Oryctolagus cuniculus: one gene and its partners. The protein of the gene in region 1 purifies or fractionates together with the protein of each later gene. This does not show direct contact. Links are inferred from orthologs where the notes say so. Each region holds a gene or a part of one and is shown on either strand. Other genes may lie near its edges.

What was found.
Region 2: the proteins of SMARCC2 (region 1) and BCL7B purify together in Homo sapiens (affinity purification with mass spectrometry; 3 studies listed by BioGRID and IntAct, counting the BioPlex papers as one, with this or other methods). This does not show direct contact. The link is inferred for Oryctolagus cuniculus from reciprocal best matches to the Homo sapiens genes SMARCC2 and BCL7B.
Region 3: the proteins of SMARCC2 (region 1) and TBL1XR1 fractionate together in Homo sapiens (co-fractionation; 3 studies listed by BioGRID, with this or other methods). This does not show direct contact. The link is inferred for Oryctolagus cuniculus from reciprocal best matches to the Homo sapiens genes SMARCC2 and TBL1XR1.

Annotation. Positions count from the first base shown.
Region 1 is NC_091442.1:58,976,110-58,982,506, reverse strand, and holds part of SMARCC2 (SWI/SNF complex subunit SMARCC2), read left to right. Parts: intron 1-1,162; coding exon 1,163-1,222; intron 1,223-1,368; coding exon 1,369-1,406; intron 1,407-1,667; coding exon 1,668-1,798; intron 1,799-2,096; coding exon 2,097-2,168; intron 2,169-4,014; coding exon 4,015-4,128; intron 4,129-4,557; coding exon 4,558-4,711; intron 4,712-5,367; coding exon 5,368-5,460; intron 5,461-5,691; coding exon 5,692-5,811; intron 5,812-5,900; coding exon 5,901-5,963; intron 5,964-6,329; coding exon 6,330-6,397. UniProt on the Homo sapiens protein: Involved in transcriptional activation and repression of select genes by chromatin remodeling (alteration of DNA-nucleosome topology).
Region 2 is NC_091450.1:50,490,595-50,496,146, reverse strand, and holds the end of BCL7B (B-cell CLL/lymphoma 7 protein family member B), read right to left. Parts: intron 4,581-5,552; coding exon 4,410-4,580; intron 2,775-4,409; coding exon 2,695-2,774; intron 2,569-2,694; coding exon 2,470-2,568; 3' UTR 1,557-2,469; downstream 1-1,556. UniProt on the Homo sapiens protein: Positive regulator of apoptosis. Plays a role in the Wnt signaling pathway, negatively regulating the expression of Wnt signaling components CTNNB1 and HMGA1.
Region 3 is NC_091435.1:102,881,338-102,887,734, reverse strand, and holds part of TBL1XR1 (F-box-like/WD repeat-containing protein TBL1XR1), read right to left. Parts: intron 4,120-6,397; coding exon 3,998-4,119; intron 3,866-3,997; coding exon 3,791-3,865; intron 1,168-3,790; coding exon 1,040-1,167; intron 348-1,039; coding exon 182-347; intron 1-181. UniProt on the Homo sapiens protein: F-box-like protein involved in the recruitment of the ubiquitin/19S proteasome complex to nuclear receptor-regulated transcription units. Plays an essential role in transcription activation mediated by nuclear receptors.

The DNA of each region.
Region 1 (6,397 bases):
GCGCTGCGGCCGGCACACCGCGCTGATCCGATGGCAGGAGCCAGGTGCTTCTCCTGGTCTCCCATGGGGTGCAGGGCCCAGGCACTTGGGCCATCCTCCACTGCACTCCCTGGCCACAGCAGAGAGCTGGCCTGGAAGAGGGGCAACTGGGACAGAATCCAGCACCCCGACCGGGACTAGAACCCGGTATGCCAGCGCTGCAAGGCGGAGGAGCCGCAGCGCCAGCCCTGTCCTATGCTTTCAAAAATGTTTAAGAACATAACTGTTCCTCTACAGCAGAGATGGGGGAAGTTTTATTTGGCCAAGGGCCGGGCCATGTGGATATTTCTAAAATCATTTGCAGGCCATACCAAATTATTAGAGATTAGCCAGCTATAGGTTTATTGAATTTTGAGTCCTCTCTGCAGTTGCCTTGGTAGTGCCAGACCAAATGATTTTGCGGGACTTCTATGGCCCATAGGCCAGACGCCCTCTACGTTTGCCCTAGAGGGTGATTTGCTGAAAATTAAACCGAGTCCTTTGCGAGCTTACAGACGCATAGTTGGAGGTAGGGGCCTGTCACAGACAAGAATGATTTGTGGGGACGGCGCCGCAGCTCACTAGGCTAATCCTCCGCCTTGCGGCGCCGGCACACCAGGTTCTAGTCCCAGTCGGGGCGCCGGATTCTGTCCCGGTTGCACCTCTTCCAGGCCAGCTCTCTGCTGTGGCCAGGGAGTGCAGTGGAGGATGGCCCAAGTCCTTGGGCCCTGCACCCCATGGGAGACCAGGATAAGTACCTGGCTCCTGCCATCGGATCAGCGCGGTGTGCCGGCTGCAGCGCACCGGCCACGGCGGCCATTGGAGAGTGAACCAACGGCAAAAGGAAGACCTTTCTCTCTGTCTCTCTCTCTCACTGTCCACTCTGCCTGTCAAGAAAAAAAAAAGAATTATTTGTGAATATAAGTGTAGAGAGTAGTCACAGGTATTTTTGGTTGGAGAAGGGAAGAAGGTAGTGAGTGTTTCAAGCCCTGGAATGATTGGGGCTGGAGGGAGTTGCTATGTTTTGCAGTCAAATGGAGAAAATTTGTTGAGAAAGTAGGATATGTAGAACTATTAATAGTGGAGAGATGAGGGCTCAGCTGAGGCCGAATCTGCCTGATGAGATGACTCTCTCTTCTGGCAGTGAACACTAAGAAGGACTCGGAGTCAGCTCCCGTCAAAGGAGGCACCATGACCGACCTGGGTAAGGGTCGACCTCGGGCAAGGCTGTCAGAGCCCGAGGCTGGGGGAGGGCTCAGCCCCGCCTCCCCCCTGGCCTGACAGGCTTTGCAGCAGGACTCCCCTACCCCTCGGGAGGCTTTAGCCTTATCACACTGCCTTCTCTTTCAGATGAACAGGAGGATGAGAGCATGGAGACCACGGGCAAGGTGGAGCCAGTTTAGAGAGGGCCTCCCTCTCTATGTGATTCTGATCTGTGATGATAAAATTCCTTCTGTCCCAGCTTTTCCCACTCCAGGCTAATCCTAGCTATTGCTCAAAGCCCCAAGCCTTTTCGAGTCCCTCAGCCCATGCCTGCTCACTCCTGTCCACCCATCATCTGTGTCCACTTCCCTGGGGTGTGGGGGGAAGCAGAGGGTTGCTGAGGGGACAGAGGAATGCTGAGTGTCCAGCAGCCTCCATACTCCTAGGATGAGGACGAGAACAGCACGGGGAACAAGGGGGAGCAGACCAAGAATCCAGACCTGCATGAGGACAACGTGACTGAGCAGACACACCACATCATCATTCCCAGCTATGCTGCCTGGTTTGACTACAACAGGTATTGTTCTGGCTTCTCCCTGGATGGCTTCCCTGACTCCAGGATCAGTGAGCTGCTGCTTCCCCTGCCTCCTCCGAATGAGAGTTTTGCCTCAGCCAGGTAGACCAGGCTGCTTTTCCATTCTCAAGGAGCTCCTGGTCTATTTTGAGTCTTAGAGGCCTTGTAGGGTGTTCTCCCTACATCTCTAATTCTTTCCTGCAGTTTCAAGCCATCTCCCCATCCCACCTTCTAGGCTTTTCTCCCCTCTGGAGCTCCCGCCTCTCCTCTAAGCCCATGTCCACTCTGACTTCTCTTGCAGTGTGCATGCCATTGAGAGGAGGGCTCTCCCCGAGTTCTTCAACGGCAAGAACAAGTCCAAGACCCCAGAGATGTAAGGAAATCTCAGCCCATGATCCCCTTCTCCCCTCTGTCCCTGCTTGCCCTTCCTGACCCAGCAGCATTCAGTTCAGCAAGCATTTGTTGAGCTCCTTGCGTGCTAGGTTTATAAAGACGTGATCTGTGCAGCCCAGCACTTGGACACGTGTTCTTTAGAATGTTCCCAGGGGGACATCCAGCATGCCTTTCTATGCAGAACAAGTGCCTGCTCTGGTACCCAAAATTCTGGCCCAAGGACACAGCCTCTCTGCCATGATCACTGAGACTGTCTACAGTGCAGACGTCTGTAGCACAAGTAGGAGCTTTAAAATATGAGTGACTGTCACCAAGCTGGTCTGAGAGTAGATTTTGATGAAAAGGACAAGAGAAGGAACTCAGAGAGGACCTAAGTCTGTGAATGGAGGGATAGAGAGAACTAGTTAGTATCAGGTGCAGAAGTCTTCATCTCCTTCAAGGTTTTGCCTCAGGCCAGACTTGCCTGGCTTTGGTTAAGACTCGGTGACCTTCTGTGGTTAGGGTTACTCCAGGGTAAATGCATGAGAAGGTGGGTGAAACTGAGAACTGAACAGGTTTTCTTCTTACCTGTTCCTCAGCTTCCCTTTTCTGGGGTCCTCTCTTCCCACCTGTTTCTTGGCCCATAGCCTGGTTCTCCTCCCAGCAAAGCAGTGTGCGTGAAAAGAAAGGAAAAGGAAGTAGTGCCCAAATGATACACCAGTCGGGTTGGGCCGGAACAAATTCTTGGTATATTCTAGTAAATGATGGCAATTGCCTTCATCTGTTGAGAGCACTGTCTGCCAGGCACCATCCTGAGTGTTCTGCACACACTGATTTTATCTCACATTAACGTTGGAGATAGGTCGTGTTATCATCTCCAGGTTACAAGTGAGACAGCTGGCTATAAAGGCGTTGTGTCTTGAATAAGGTCACACCACTAGTAAGTCGGTCTCCTTCAATCTGCCTCATGTTTTCAAACTTGACATTGCACCCCTAACAGCTTCCACGTCTTCAGCTCCTGCACTGTTCCAGACTGTGCTAGTGCTTTCCAGGCTTCCACGGCCCTCGGCAGACATTCCACTGTACAGGGGAGGAAGCTGAGTTCAGGAAGTTAAAAATCACTGGTCAAGGCCATCGCAGTAGAACTGGGATTTGAAGTTATATCTTCCCACTTAAGAACATACGTTCTGGGCCGACGCCGCGGCTCACTAGGCTAATCCTCTACCTGCAGTGCCGGCACACCGGGTTCTAGTCCCAGTCGGGGCGCCGGATTCTGTCCCGGTTGCCCCACTTCCAGGCCAGCTCTCTGCTGTGGCCAGGGAGTGCAGTGGAGGATGGCCCATTGGGAGACCAGGATAAGTACCTGGCTACTGCCTTTGGCTCAGCGCGGTGCGCCAGCCACGGCGGCCATTGAAGGGTGAACCAGCGGCAAAGGAAGACCTTTCTCTCTGTCTCTCTCACTATCCACTCTGCCTGTCAAAAAAAAAAAAAACTGTCCACCGTGTCACACATCTGCACACGCACAAATAAGGCTCCCCTTTAGTGTCAGGGTTTTAAGACAAGGGCATCTTTTCTTACCTTTTGATTCCTTGTTTCAAAGTTGGGTGTAACATCTCTGAGGGTAGCCAAGAAGACATTCATTTGCCTGGAACCCCGTCAGGGAGAGTGTGAGGCTGTTAGAGTCCCTTGCAGCCAGCACGCAGCAGGCACTCCGTGTATAGCGAGTCAGACCGTCTACTCTGTCCCATCTTTGTGGTGTAGGAGGAATCGTTAGCTCTTTTACCAGTTTCCTACCCTTCAGCCTTCAACATGTCTTCTTCCTCTTGTTCATCCCTTTCTCTCCTAAGCTACCTGGCCTACCGAAACTTCATGATTGACACTTACCGACTTAACCCCCAAGAGTACCTCACCTCCACTGCCTGCCGCCGGAACCTGGCCGGGGACGTCTGTGCCATCATGAGGTGGGTCTTGCCACTGAGTGGAGGGCAGGGGTGTGTGGGTGCATCCTGGCAGAGGGCAATGCAGCCAGCAGTGTAAGGGAGAGGACAGGGACAGACCTCTAGAGAAAGGTGAAGCCCAGGTGTGGGTGGTGGCAGTGTGGACAGGAGCACGTCCGTGACCATGACCGTGACAGCGGTTCTGTTTCACCAGCTGTCTGGGGAGGGGTGCTTAGCAGCATCTGGCTGAGAGAGGGTTAGACTACAGATGCGGGCTTGGTGTCACTGGGGTCTGGGTGGTGGGTAAGCAGTGGGATTTTCCAGAGAGTGGAATAAACAGAAGAGACCAGGGGAGGAGGAGAGGGAGCTTTACACCGCTGTCTCTACCACAGTCCTCCTCATGCACCTTTCCAGCTGTTCCATGTGACCCTGACTCTGCCTCCCTCCTCACAGGGTCCATGCCTTCCTCGAGCAGTGGGGTCTTATTAACTACCAGGTGGATGCCGAGAGCCGACCAACCCCCATGGGGCCTCCGCCCACCTCTCACTTCCATGTCTTGGCCGACACACCGTCGGGGCTGGTGCCTCTGCAGCCCAAGACCCCGCAGGTAGGGCGAGGGGCTGTGGGGACAGGGTGGGCTTGGGTAAGATTGGGCTTCTTCAGACTTTCTTTTTCTGGTTTTTAGGGTAATGGTTCAGGAGTATTTTGAGGCTTCTTCCTTTTCCATGGGAGGCGAAGGGCCACAGGCGTGAGCCCCGTGTGTTAGCACCCTCTCTCAGCCTCTGTACTCAAGGCTGCGAGGACTTCCTGAGGGAGTGAGATCCTCCTTGTCCTCAGGGAGCAGATAGGCCAGTGTAGGGTTGAAGCAGACAGAGGAAAATGGTGTAAAATTGACTTGCATGAAATTGTCACACTTCCTCATGTTTCCCACATTTTTTCATTTTTGTCTCATAATTATTATCACCTCCATTTTTTCCACTTCCATTTCATCTATTATAAAAATTAAGAGAAGAAAGGTTATGTGGCTTGCCCAAGGTCACAGAGTACCAAATCTAGGAATAGAATCTAATTGTCCAGCTCCTAAGAGAACCTTAAAAGTACATGTGCATACAAATGGACACCATGCCAACCATGTGTCTAATTAATCAGAAAGGGAACTGGAACAGTGGCATGAGTGCCCCAGAGCTTGCGGGCCACCCAGCATTTGGTCTTGGCCTGGTCATTTCCTGCCCAGCTTCCATGACGCCAAGCTCTGTCCCCCAGGGCCGCCAGGTTGATGCTGATACCAAGGCTGGGCGAAAGGGCAAAGAGCTGGATGACCTGGTGCCAGAGACGGCTAAGGGCAAGCCAGAGCTGGTAGGTGGGGTGCAGACCCCGCTGAGCTTCTTATTTGCCCCTTTATTGGGGGTCCCCTGCCCGGGAAAAAGAGGCATGAGAGCAGAGGAGCTACAGCAGTAGGGGAGGAAGTCCCGCCAGGGACGTCCCTGGACTGGGAAGGAAGCTCCTTCTGTCTGTTTTCTCTCTCTGTCTGCCCCTGACCCCCAGTGGTCACTCGTACTCACCTCTTTCTTTCCCCTCCACAAATAGCAGACCTCTGCTTCCCAACAAATGCTCAACTTTCCTGACAAAGGCAAAGAGAAACCAACAGACATGCAGAACTTCGGGCTGCGCACAGACATGTACACGAAGAAGAGCGTCCCCTCCAAGGTAGGCGGTGCAGGCTGGCTGCGGGGCTGGAGAACCTCTCCCAAGAGCTCCCAGGCTCCTGCCTCCTGACCCGCCTGCATCCTCTGCAGAGCAAAGCCGCAGCCAGTGCCACTCGAGAGTGGACAGAACAGGAGACCCTGCTACTCCTCGAGGTAATTGGGGCAAGGAAGAGAGTTCTGCTACAAAAACAGTAGGGACCAGGGTGCCAGCTGCACTTGGGAGCTGGGAGAGCTCATGGAGTCTGGCGTGAGCAGAGCACCATCTCTTCCCGGTCTCTCCCCTTCCTGATGTCTGTCACACCTGCCCCAGGGAACAGCTCCAGGCCAGGGATCTGGGACGTTTCTTTAACTTCAGATCCTTTCTTAGTGCTACTTGGAGATCCCCCTTGGATCCAGCAGAGTAAACACAAAGCAGAACACAGAGAGCTTTGAAGCCAGCTGCCCCTGGTAGCATAGCGGGAGTTGACCTCCAAGGAAGGTGGCTAAATAAGAAGAGTTATGTCTCCACCACCCCACCAGGCACTGGAAATGTACAAAGATGACTGGAACAAAGTATCTGAGCACGTGGGAAGCCGGACACAGGATGA
Region 2 (5,552 bases), on another chromosome or scaffold:
ACCAACCACCCAGGGGTACCAGGTGAACCGAGGTGAAGGAAACACTTTACCCATTTATGGGACTTTTTGCTAACTGTCCGGTTTTGCAAATTCCCTGAAATGTGGGGGAAGTTAGAGACCCGATTACATGGTTTGCTCCTGCATACGCCCAGTGCTTTGCCACCTCTGTCCCTCACTTGCCCTGGTTACTCTCTTTCCTCAGGTCTGTCTGCACCCAACCAGAGGTTTCAATGCCCAGCGAAACGCTTCCCCGGACCCTTACGGTCCTCTTCCCTCCACCCCACCCCCCGTGAGGCATAGGCTCCTGTCCACCCTCCCTACCTCACCACACCATACACTCCTTAAAAAGACAGCGACCATGTGGGATACATCGGCACCAAGTATTTGTAAAACAAGCACCTGTCAAGGCTGACTAACACAGCATGGAAATCTAACCCCAGATAAAAAGGTGAGGTCCACTCGTCTTCTTTATACTCCAAACCCCTCTGGCCTCTGGGGCAATCCTTATTCCACACCATTAGTTAGGTGAGCCCATATGTTTTTTTTTTTTTTTTTTTTGTATTTTTGAAGATGTGTTTATTCAAAAGGCAGAGTGACAGAGAAACCATCCACCCATTGGTTCATTCCCCAGATGCCCATGTAACAGCTAGGGTTGGGGCTGGGCCAGGCCAAAGCCGGGAGCTCCCTTTGGCTCTCTCACGTGGGTGACAGACACCCAAGTACTTGAACTTCATCTTCTGCCTTCCAGGGAACATTAGTAGGAAGCTGGATCAGGAGCAAAGGAGCTGGGACTTGATCCAGGCATTCTAATATACAGGACGTGACTTAATCACTGCCCAAAACACCTACCCCTGGCCATTTTTTGATGGCCTCTTACTGGTTATACTTTCCCTTGCTTAAATACATTAGAGAACACATTTATCTTATGTGCCACAAGTCATCATGGAATCTGTGACATTCATTTCACAACTTAATAGTGTCCAATTTTTAAGAAAAAACAAGTAGGGGTTAATAAGGCGGGGCAGCAGAACTTGGATTCTAGTCCCGTCCATGATACCTGGAGCCCCGGTGAGGGGTCAAAGGCATTACTTAGGAAACTCTTGAACACACCTAACGCCAGATTCTTTTCAACCATGACCCTTCTGATTTCCTTAGGAATCAGAACAAAAAGGAATCCGTGGCTGCCGGGGCCTGGGAAGAGTGGGAAACAGGGAGCGAGTGCTGTGGGGTGGGAGGGTCCCGTGGGGGCAGTGAGAAGGCTCACGGGGAGGGTGGCGATGACCAGACGTGTGAGCAGCTTACACTGTGTGCTGACCTGCAGGTGCAAATGCTAAGCTTTCGTGTGATGTGCATTCTACGACGATTTCAAAAGTGAAAAACAGACTTCACGGATTCCTCCCTGCTGCCTGGGGCTGCGTAAGACACACAGGGACAGCACTGGCCACACGACAATGTCAAGGCAATCTTGGCAGCGCACTCCTGTCTAAGGGCCCAGCCCCCAGCACCCCCAGCCCTGCCTGCCCCCTTCCACAATGAGGCACTCAGAGACCAACAAGACTATTTCAAATAGTTTAATTTTAAAAATATTCTATTCAGTGCTAAAATATGTCTTCACTCACTGTCGCTCATTTCCATTTTCTTAAACTTTTTTTGAAACAAAAAATAAAATCACAAAGTTCAATTAAACATGCAGGTTTGAAAGAAGAGGGAACTTTCTAGAAGTCTGAGCTGAAGCAGTACTGTGGGGGTGGGTGCTGATGTCAGAACCTCGACTTCTTGCTGAGGCAGAGTGTACAGCAGGAGGCAGGGGGTGCTGGAATGACACGCACGGGTGGGAACAAAGCCGCCGGCGTGGGAGTGCGCGGGGGGAGGGCACAAAGACCACCAGCAGCCAGAGCCCACCGGAGGCAGGACCGCCTCGGGCTGGGGCAGAGACGGACCTTCACCCTCCCTCCCTTGGCCCAGTCTCCTCCAGCAGCGGCCTGGAGGCCGCACACCCTGAGGATCCCAGCTTCTACAATCTCCTTTCAAGTTCAAGTATCCTTAGGCACTCTCTCCTCTAGAGGGCGCCATCCACACAGTCTCACAGTCTCTCACAGTCTCTCACAGTCTCTCTCTCTCTCTCTCTCTCTCTCTCTCTCTCTCTCAGACATGCCAGCAGCTCCGTCCAGAGGTCCTGGGGCAGAGACTGCCACCTGGGGGTGACAGAAGAACCGGGGAGGGCGGACTCTCCAGCCTACTTGGGTATGGGAGGACAGGAGCACTCCTCCTCTGGGGGGAACAAGCAGACAGGTGCCAGGGACAGATGATGGTGCTGCAACCCCAAGTCCTTTGTCAGCTTCCAGGCTGGACGGTTCCTATGTGCAGGCTCTGGACCCCAGCGCTTGCCCTCACCCCAGCGACACAGCCCGGCCAGAGCCAGAGAACAATAAATAGAGGCGGGGTGGGAGGCGGAGGGTGCAGACGCCGCTAGCTCTCCGACGCCGACGCTGTCTGCGGCACTGCAGGCTGGTCCACGCAGAAGCGCTTCAGGGGTGGGGCACTTGCATCTTCCTCTTCCGCGGCCACCTAGGAGCAGCCAGAGGTGGGTTGGCAGACCCCGGAGGCGCCCCACACCCTCTCTGCGCCCTCCAGGGGCCGACAGAGCCTTTACTTTGTGTCTGAGAAACTGGGACGCCCACAGTGACCGCTCACCTGTGTCTCCAGGGGCACTGGTTCTTCCTTGGTGAGGGTGGGAGGCTCGTCGGCAACTTCGGAGGCCGGCAGGGAGGGCTCTGAAAAAGCGGCAGGTTCAGCCCAGGGCAAGCTCCCCAGGCAGGGCGCTGTCCTCAGTTACCCGACAGAAGTGGCTCAGTGAGGAGGGAAGGAGCCAGAGTCTTGTGGAGCAGCCACGGCCACCCCGGGGAGGTGGGGACACTAAGACTAGGCCACAGGGGACCAGCCTGGCCTGCAAGTGCCTGGACCCACCAGAGCAGCTCATTGCTCCCCAGGCCCCTGCCACGGGATGCGATGCAGACAGACACGGAGGGAGCTACACAGAGGACAGCTCTGTCGTGTAGCCCAGCTGGCACCAGATCGCAGTGCGGCAAAGCTGACGAGGGCCCAGGACAGGGCACCTCGACTCCGGCTTGTGCTGGACAGAGCACAAAGGGCACGGACGCTGGCGTCTGAGGGACTCAAGCTGACGCCCACTCTGCCAGTTGGCAGCGCCGCGATCCCGTCCAGGCCTCCACTTGCTCTCTGTCTCAGGGTGTCTGAGAGGTCACCCAGGCTCCACAGCGCCTGCGCCTCGCTCGAGCCGCATGCTTCCTCCTGCCTCTCCGGACGGGGTAGTCAGTCCTTCCTCAACACGCCCACGTGCAGGGCACTGGGTGTCTGCTGCAGAGGCTGGGATACCGGCATTCTACATCAGAGTGCCTGGGTTCCAGTCCTGGTTCTGGTTCTGAACCCAGCTTCCTGCTACTGAACACCCTCTTGACACCCATGTCGGGGTCCTGGATGGAGTTCCTGGCTGCTGGCTTCCTCCTGGCCCAGTCCCAGGTATTATAGGCATTTGGGGAGTGAATCCATGGATGGAAGTTTTCTTTTTTTTTTTTGTTTTAAGGATTTATTTTATTTGAAAGGCAGAATGACACAGAGGGCAAGACAGAGAGAGGAAGAAGTCTTCCATCTGCTGATTCACTCCCCAGATGGCCGCAACAACCAGGACCAGAGCAGGCCGAAGCCAGGAGCCAGGAGCTTCTTCCAGGTCTCACATGGGTGCAGGGGTCCAGGTACTTGGGCCATCTTCTGCTGCTTTCCCAAGTGCGTCAGTGGGAGCAGGACTGGAAGTGGGGCAGCCAGGACTGAAATGCACTGATCCGGGATGCTGGTGTCACAAGCAGTGGCCTAACCTGCAGTGCCACAACACTGGCCCCTTTCTGCTTTTCAAGTTGAAAAAAAAAAAAAAATGTTTTTGGCTGGTGCCGCGGCTCACTAGGCTAAATCCTCCGCCTTGCGGCGCTGGCACACCAGGTTCTAGTCCCGGTCGGGCGCCGGATTCTGTCCTGGTTGCCCCCCCTTCCAGGCCAGCTCTCTGCTGTGGCCTGGGAGTGCAGTGGAGGATGGCCCAAGTGCTTGGGCCCTGCACCCCGTGGGAGACCAGGAAAAGCACCTGGCTCCTGCCATCGGATCAGCGCAGTGCGCTGGCAGCAGCGTGCCAGCCACGGCGGCCATTGGAGGGTGAACCAACGGCAAAAGGAAGACCTTTCTCTCTGTCTCTCTCTCTCACTGTCCACTCTGCCTGTCAAAAAAAAAAAAAAGTTTTTGTAACTATGCCAAGCTGTTACCAAATGGCTTGATGGTGCCAGGCCGTGGGGTGCTCCCCTAACCCCTTCCTCCAAAGAAGACAATCGTGAAGGCAGACTCACCCTCGAGGATCTCCTGGCCCAGCGTGGGGGGCTGGGAGTCGTCTGTGCGGAAGTCCGAGGTGTGTGCTGGGCTCAGAGACTCGCTCTGCTGGGGGCTGGGGCTCGAGTTGGTGCTGCTGTCCACCTTCAGCTGGTAGACGTCAGACGCCGAACTCTGGTTGCTGTTTTCATCTGAAACCAAGCACAGCGAAGGCGACAGCTCGGGCAGCTGTCCTCAACAGGACTCAGGACACCCGGCGTCTCCACAGCACAGGGCTCCTGTGCCCTGCAGGCTGGCTGCAGGCTCCCGCGGATTCACTTCGGCATTTCTGTACCCCGAGCACAGAGGCAGCTGGAATCCTGATGCAACCTGCGCACTTCGGGAAGCTCGGGATCCTTCAGCACCCAGCTGCAGCCTGGACTGGGGTTTCTCACTGCCCAGGGCAGAGGTGCAGCTGCGCCTCTGGTCAGTACCTGCCCATCTCCCTCCTGCCACAGATGTGCAGGAAATGACCCATCTGTCTGGAGCTGGTACCTGCAGGGGCTCAGCTCAGGCCCTTCAAGCCAACTGCCCCCGGGGCCAAAGGACTGCCATCCGCCAGCTCTGTCTGACGGCCCAACACGACCACCTAAGATAACAACATAGAGCAAGCCCTGCCTCCAGCACCCAGGCACCAAGTGAGCTCCATGCTCCCGCCATGAAACCACTTGTGCTCACGCCTGGCTCTCCTGCAGCCCCGGCCTGGGCTGCAGCATCTCCGAGCAGGCCTGCTGGCCAGTCTCCGGTCTGGCCTGCCCCAGGGCTCACGGCTCCACACTGCTCCACTGCACAGATGGAGGGGCTTCCTGAGACTTCCCAGGATAAGCCCCACACGCCAGCACCTCTCGTGGCCTCCCCGCCTTTCTCCCCGCCTCACACTCCCCAGGCAGGAACAGCTTTCTCTTTCCAGTCTTCCTGGAGAGCCCTGCACGTTCCGACATCCAGCTCCAGCATCGCTCCCTGCGCGGGGCCCTGCCTCCCTGCTCCCCCGAGCTCCTGTCATACCCTGCGCACACCTGCGTCTTTCCACTGCACCCCGTGCGGGCAGGCTCGGACACGCCGTCCTTGGCTGCCCAGAGCACGCAGCACCTGCTCACTACTGGATGAAACCACACGGAGGAAAC
Region 3 (6,397 bases), on another chromosome or scaffold:
TAAAAAACATAATTTCAATCAGTTCTGATCATTACTGAGCCATAAATTCTCCCTTTTTAAAACTAATAATTCAATTAACCCCACAGGAGGAATGATACCTGCCCCAAAGACCACATCTGTATAGGCAAATGCATCCACCCAGGTATAAGAACACCAAACCATCTAAATATCTCAAACATACCTGTGTGTTCCAGATGTGTACACATTTGTCAAAAGAGCCACTTGCCAGATACCTGCCATCAGGACTGAAAGCTACGCTGTACACAGGCTCTTGGTGTTTTGTCAAAGTATGTATGCAAATTCCTCTGTCAACATCCCATAACCTAACAGTAGAATCGAAGGATGCACTGAAAATGGAGGAAAGAAAATTAGATTAAAGGTAATGAAATACTCTTATAGCCTTGTATCCAATCTGCCAATATTCTGATACTTGAAACAGCCACAAATTCTTCATGAGAAGAAGATTGGACTGTAAGGAAATAAGTATTCTGGAACCTAGACAATTCTAAATCCCTAAACCAGAAAACATAAATAAGGTAATTCACTGTCTTTTTCACTTCAAATAATCCCTTTTTACTGATTCATGATCTTAAACACAGAATTGGCCAAATCTATTGATTTATTTTTAAGATGATGAAAAAACAGAACTATACATTATGTCTAAATTACTTACATTTTAATCAATATTTGATATCAAGTCAGAATTTGGTTACCTCCATTATGTCCTGAAATACTAATAATATAGCCTGTATTTAAAGGCCCCCCTTGAAAATATAGTCCCTGGGGAGTTTGGCCAGGCATTTAAGACAATGGTTAGGGTACCTGCATCCCACATCAGAGTGCCTGGGTTTGATTGCCGTTTCTTACTAGGACAAGACCCTGTGACAGCCAAGAAGGCTCAGTGGGTGGGTTTATTTATGCTTGTAAGATCTACACTGCCATGTCATAGGATCTTCCCTACTTGTAAATTCAAATTCATTAGAAGCTTTATTTGTAAAGGACTCATAAAAGGAAGAGTAAAACAGAAATATCGTATCACCTTGCTAACATAAGGTTGGCATTTGGATTATTCGTCCCTGGTCCAGTTGGACTCCATTTGATAGTATAAATCTCTTTATTATGTGCTTGCAAATCATGGACACAATTGTCTTGCTTCATACTCCATATCTAAACAAAAAAGAAAATGTATATAATTATGGTTCAGTATAATGAGTACATTCAAAATATACTATCTTGCCAGCCCAAAATATGAGTGATAGAACCAAAATTAAGGGAATATTTGTAATTTAAATACAGAATATATTTAATATTTTTGGAATAAATGATATTATCTTTGTCGCCTTCAAAAATATTCACTATTGTAAGGTTTGAAGACTGAATTATAGTTTTTTTCCATGATTACTTCTGGTAGATTAAAAAGTTGCAAAGTTCAACATCAAAATGTTAAAGGGACTGCTTTGATGCTGTCCCTTAAATAACAGACATTATATATTGCTCTTAGAATTAACTAGCCGGAAATTACTTTCTGTAATGAAGTGAAAATAAGTAAACAGCTTACAAAATAATGTGATGACTCGAACAGAACAAGTGATGAAAACACATGCAATAGAGCTAAAGTAGTAGAGAATAAGCTTCTGCTGAGGTGAAAAATGCTATGTTCAGGTTAAAAAATCTGCATTAATTATGAGCAAAAATTAATAGAAACCTACATCCAGAGTATTTTTGGATGTATCAATATAGACTTGAAAGGTGGAATGGGGGAAACACATAAGATGTCTTGACAAACACAAGCACATCAACTCCAACAGCAGAAGGGAAACAAAAGTTAGCTGGACTTCATACTCCTACAATAAAACTAACAAAAAATAATGGGGTACTATCATAGTGTTTTTGCAGTTCAGGCATTTATAACCCCATGTAAATGAACTCAAAAGATGTTTTTCCAGAACAAATTTCGTTAGACTTCCTTCCAATGGCATTTGATACTGTTGGCCACTCCCATCCAGTGTCTCTGTGAAGTACTTTTCTCTACACATTCTCTCTCTTTTCCACTTTGGTCACTCCTCAGTCTCTGGAAGCTTAGGTAGGTGTTTTGTAATGAGAGAATCAGACCCATGAAGCCTCTCCATCTGCATTACTCCGACATTATTAAAATTCAATATGATCTTCTCACTCAATTAGGTATTCCCTGTTCTCAGAAAATGGCCCTCTTACAGCTTGCCCATCCACCTAGTTTTTGTTTTAAAATCCTATGTGACCTTTATTTATTCTTAAGATGCAGAAAAGCTCTCTTAAAATTTCAAGTTCCAATCTATCTCTGCAGCTGCAACTCAATCCATGACATAAGGCTCAACGAGCACCGGCTTCCATTTCCTTGTATATCATATGCTTTTCTACAAATTTTTCATTTTATAAGTACTAATATATGTACATACAAGGAAAACTCCAAAATAAAAGCATTAAGAAAAGCCTTTTTACTAGCAATGCTCCTAAGGGAGCCAGCACTTGAGAACTATCTGACTGAACAAACAGCAGGTACTTAGGGTAAAAAAAATCCAGAGAGTTCCCAAGGTTACATTCAGTCCATTCATGGTAGGAGGAAAAGCAGTTTTCCCTCAAGATTATTTTATCTGTAAAGGTTATCACATCTGCAGTCTGGTATCACAAAGTCAAAGATAAAACTGTTTTCAGTAGAGTTATCTGTTACAGAAGAGAACTGCAGGCTTCATTTATTTTGGAGATTAGTAGTTGGCTGGTTTTTTACTTCAAAATTCTTTTTCCCTAACTGTGGTACAATGTGCTTAGATGAAAGGTAGCAACAGTTTTGCTTTCAGTCAGACAAGAAAAAAATAATAAATGCAGGTTAAAACGTGGCTGCTGGCATGTAGGCTTGCTCAGTCACTCAGAGACTCCCAACTCATTTCTATCAGTTTCCCAGCCAGGGAGATACAAATTCACATCACAACAAAAGCAAATTGATACAATTCACAGAATTTCAGATAAATTCACAAATGCTTCAAAGATCTTAAATATTTGTCAGTCAGATCTTCACATGTGAAAATAAACTTTAATTGAACCAATACATAGTGTTACATTTCTTACTGCCTGTGAGGGTTAATTTTATAAGTCAACTTGAGAAAGTCATAGAGAACTCAGAGATTTAACTAAACATTATTTCTGTGTGGTTTTGTGAGGGTGTTTATGGATGAGACTGGGTTTTGATCACTAGACTAAGTAAGGCAGACTACCCTCTCTCCAGTGTAGCTGGGTATGATCAGATGCAGAGAGGTCCGGAACAAACCAGAACGGCAGCCTGACCACTGAGCTAGGATACTGGGCTTCCAGGGACTGGAACTTAACCACTGGTATTCCTGACCCCTAGGCCATGGATCCTGCCTGGAGTTTCACCAGCAGTTTTCTGAGTCTTTAGTTGGCAAACAGCAGAACATGCATGTGATTATCAGCGACCATAACCTTGTGAGCCAATTGTTCACAAATCTCTTACGATGGATTGATTGGTCTGTCCCCTCTATGGGTTCTATGTCTCTGGAGAATGCTGATTAATATGCCATCATAACTGTATGACTATTAATACAATGTATTTGCTATATTCAAGTAATTCTATATATCCCAGAAAAGAAAATTAAAGTACGCAAAACAATAATTAATCATTAGAGAGCAGGAAAAGTTCTCACCAAGGCTTAAACATACAATGTAAGAAATATTCTAAACAGTCAAAGCAGGCACACTGTGTGACACTCCCATCGCATCCCCATTAAACATTAATTACCTTCAAAGTCATGTCATCAGAGCAGGAGGCCAGGAGATTGCCAGTTGGGTCCCATTTGATAGCATTTACTTCATTCTAAAAATAAATATTCACATTTTCATTTGCTAGATTGGGTTACTGTGCAGATATTAAACAGAAACATGTCAAAATTATTCTGAAATATCACTTGTCATAATCCCTGTAACAGGGAGGGAAAAGGTTTCTTACCGTATGTCCCTGGAATGTTTTAATAGGTCTGTCTTGTCCTAATTTACAGACATGAATGCACATATCCGTACTACATGAAGCAAAGGTGTTGTTGCTCTGCCAATCAACATCCAATGCTGGTGCTGGAAAGGAACAAAGTTGAAGTTTGCATTTATTCCACATATACTGAAGTCCAGAAGCTTTAGCTTTGAACCATAGTTAAGACATTAAGCATGCTACGTGGTACCTAACATTTTGATACTTTTTAAGATACTAAGAAAAAATATTTATTTTTAAAATAAAACTATCAAACTATCATAAGCATTACTTTCCATTTAGTTATCTCTATATGAGATGCACCCTAACAGAAAACACACTGACCTACTTAATTGGGAGACTGGGGTTCCTGAGTGTTTGCTCTATAAATTACTAGCACCAAAACTTGGGTGCTGCTTTGCAAAATGGTAAGATTAAAAGTGATGGGGCTGGCATTATGGTGTAGTGGGTAGAGCCACCGACTGCAGTGCTGACATCCCATATGGGAGCCAGTTCGAGACCCGGCTTCTCCACTTCTCATCCAGCTCTCTGTTATGGCCTGGGAAAGCAGTAAAAGATGGCCCAAGTGCTTGGGCCCCTGTACCTGTGTGGGAGACCCAGAGAAAGCTGCTGGCTCCTGGCTTCGGATCGGCACAGTTGCAGCTAACTGGGGAGAGAACTAACGATGGAAGACCTCTCTCTCTCTCTCTCTGCCTCTCCTTCTCTCTGTGTATAACTCCGACTTTCAAATAAATAATTTTTTTTTTAAGTGATGATACCATTCCTTCTATTTCCAAAGTGCTGTTGAGTGTTCAATGAACAAGAATCCTGGTTCTGCCACTATCCAATTAGAGTCAAGCAAATCACTTAAATTCTCATACTGTTTTGTCACCAATGGGGATAACATACCACTTTCAAGCTTACTACCCAAGATGCTGTGAAGAATAAGTGAGATGATGCATGTGGAAAGTGCTATGGAGATTACAAGTGTTAGACAAATGTTATTTAAGAATTATTTCCATTATAATCTACTCAATTTGATAGGTGGAATGTTGGATACTATTCGCAAATACACTTTCTTGTCAAATATGTGTGTGTATATATATATATACATGTGTACCTGTATCTTCCGTATTCATATGTGTATCTTATAGTCTATTTTTGTCAGTATCTCAAATTCACAGAATTTAAACCTCAGAAGCCCAAGAGTTGGCTGGCATTTAATACATAGTCTGAATTTAGCTGATACCATTAAACACTCTTTCCTTTGATTTTCTCCTAATGCAAGGTGCAAAGGCTGTCTGTAATTAGCAATGCAAATTAACGTAATGACAGCAAGAAATTGGGTTATGCAAGAGACACATATCAAGCAAACTGTGGCATAGGCTAAAGAAAACTGTGGTATGTGAGGCAAGAATGGTTTCTAAAGACACATAAAACACGAAAAATCACATTAAATTTAAATGTTAGTGTCCCATAAAATGCTGTACTGGAACCCAGCCAAGCTTATTACACTAAATATTATCCATGGCTGTTTTGCACCACAGGTCAAAGCTGACTAGTTGTAACAGAAATCCTTTGGTCTAGAAAGCACAAAATATTTACTTTGTTTTTGACAAAAAATTTGTCAACCCAATTTAAAGGAAGAACTTAAGAACAAGGAGAAAAATAGGACACAAAGCTGTGTGAACAACACTCATTATTAAGCATGTAATAAAGGAAAAGATCAGAATTGGTGCTCATGGGCAGCAAAAACAAAGCCACTCCTCCATTGTGGATACAGGTATAACAGTAACTGGCTAGGTTACACCTGACCATACTGCAGTGTTTGTGAACTTAAGGCAAGGAACACGTTACATATGAGAATTTGCAACAGCATTCGTGACTTGAAAATTTCATCAGGATTTTCTAAATTACAGTAAGATTTTTTAAGATGTTTAAAGGCAAAAAAAAAACAAAATCAGAGAAAAACTAAGATCCAAAGTACAGCTAAGAACACTGACAATATTTATATGGCCTAACATACTGTGGCAAAAAATACCCTACATGCAGATCTCTGTGAGTGAGACCCCAGTGGCAAAAAGAGGCCATCAAAGGATTACTTTTCTCTAAAGGGAGAACTGAACTTCCACTTTGCTTATGGCCTTGTGTAAATACTGATGGAGTTTATGGTCACAAAAGGCTTCCATAGCCTTGGCAGCTCACAGAAAGAGCCTCAGGTGATCACTGACATCGCAAATAAGAGTGTCAATTGTTAAATTGACAGAAGTCACTGTGCACTTACACTGAGTTGTAGTATGAGAACTAAATGCAAAACATGTTCCCAAACAGTACTTTTTACGTTTTTTGTGTGTGTGTGTATATGTAGGTGTTAACTGTTGAAAT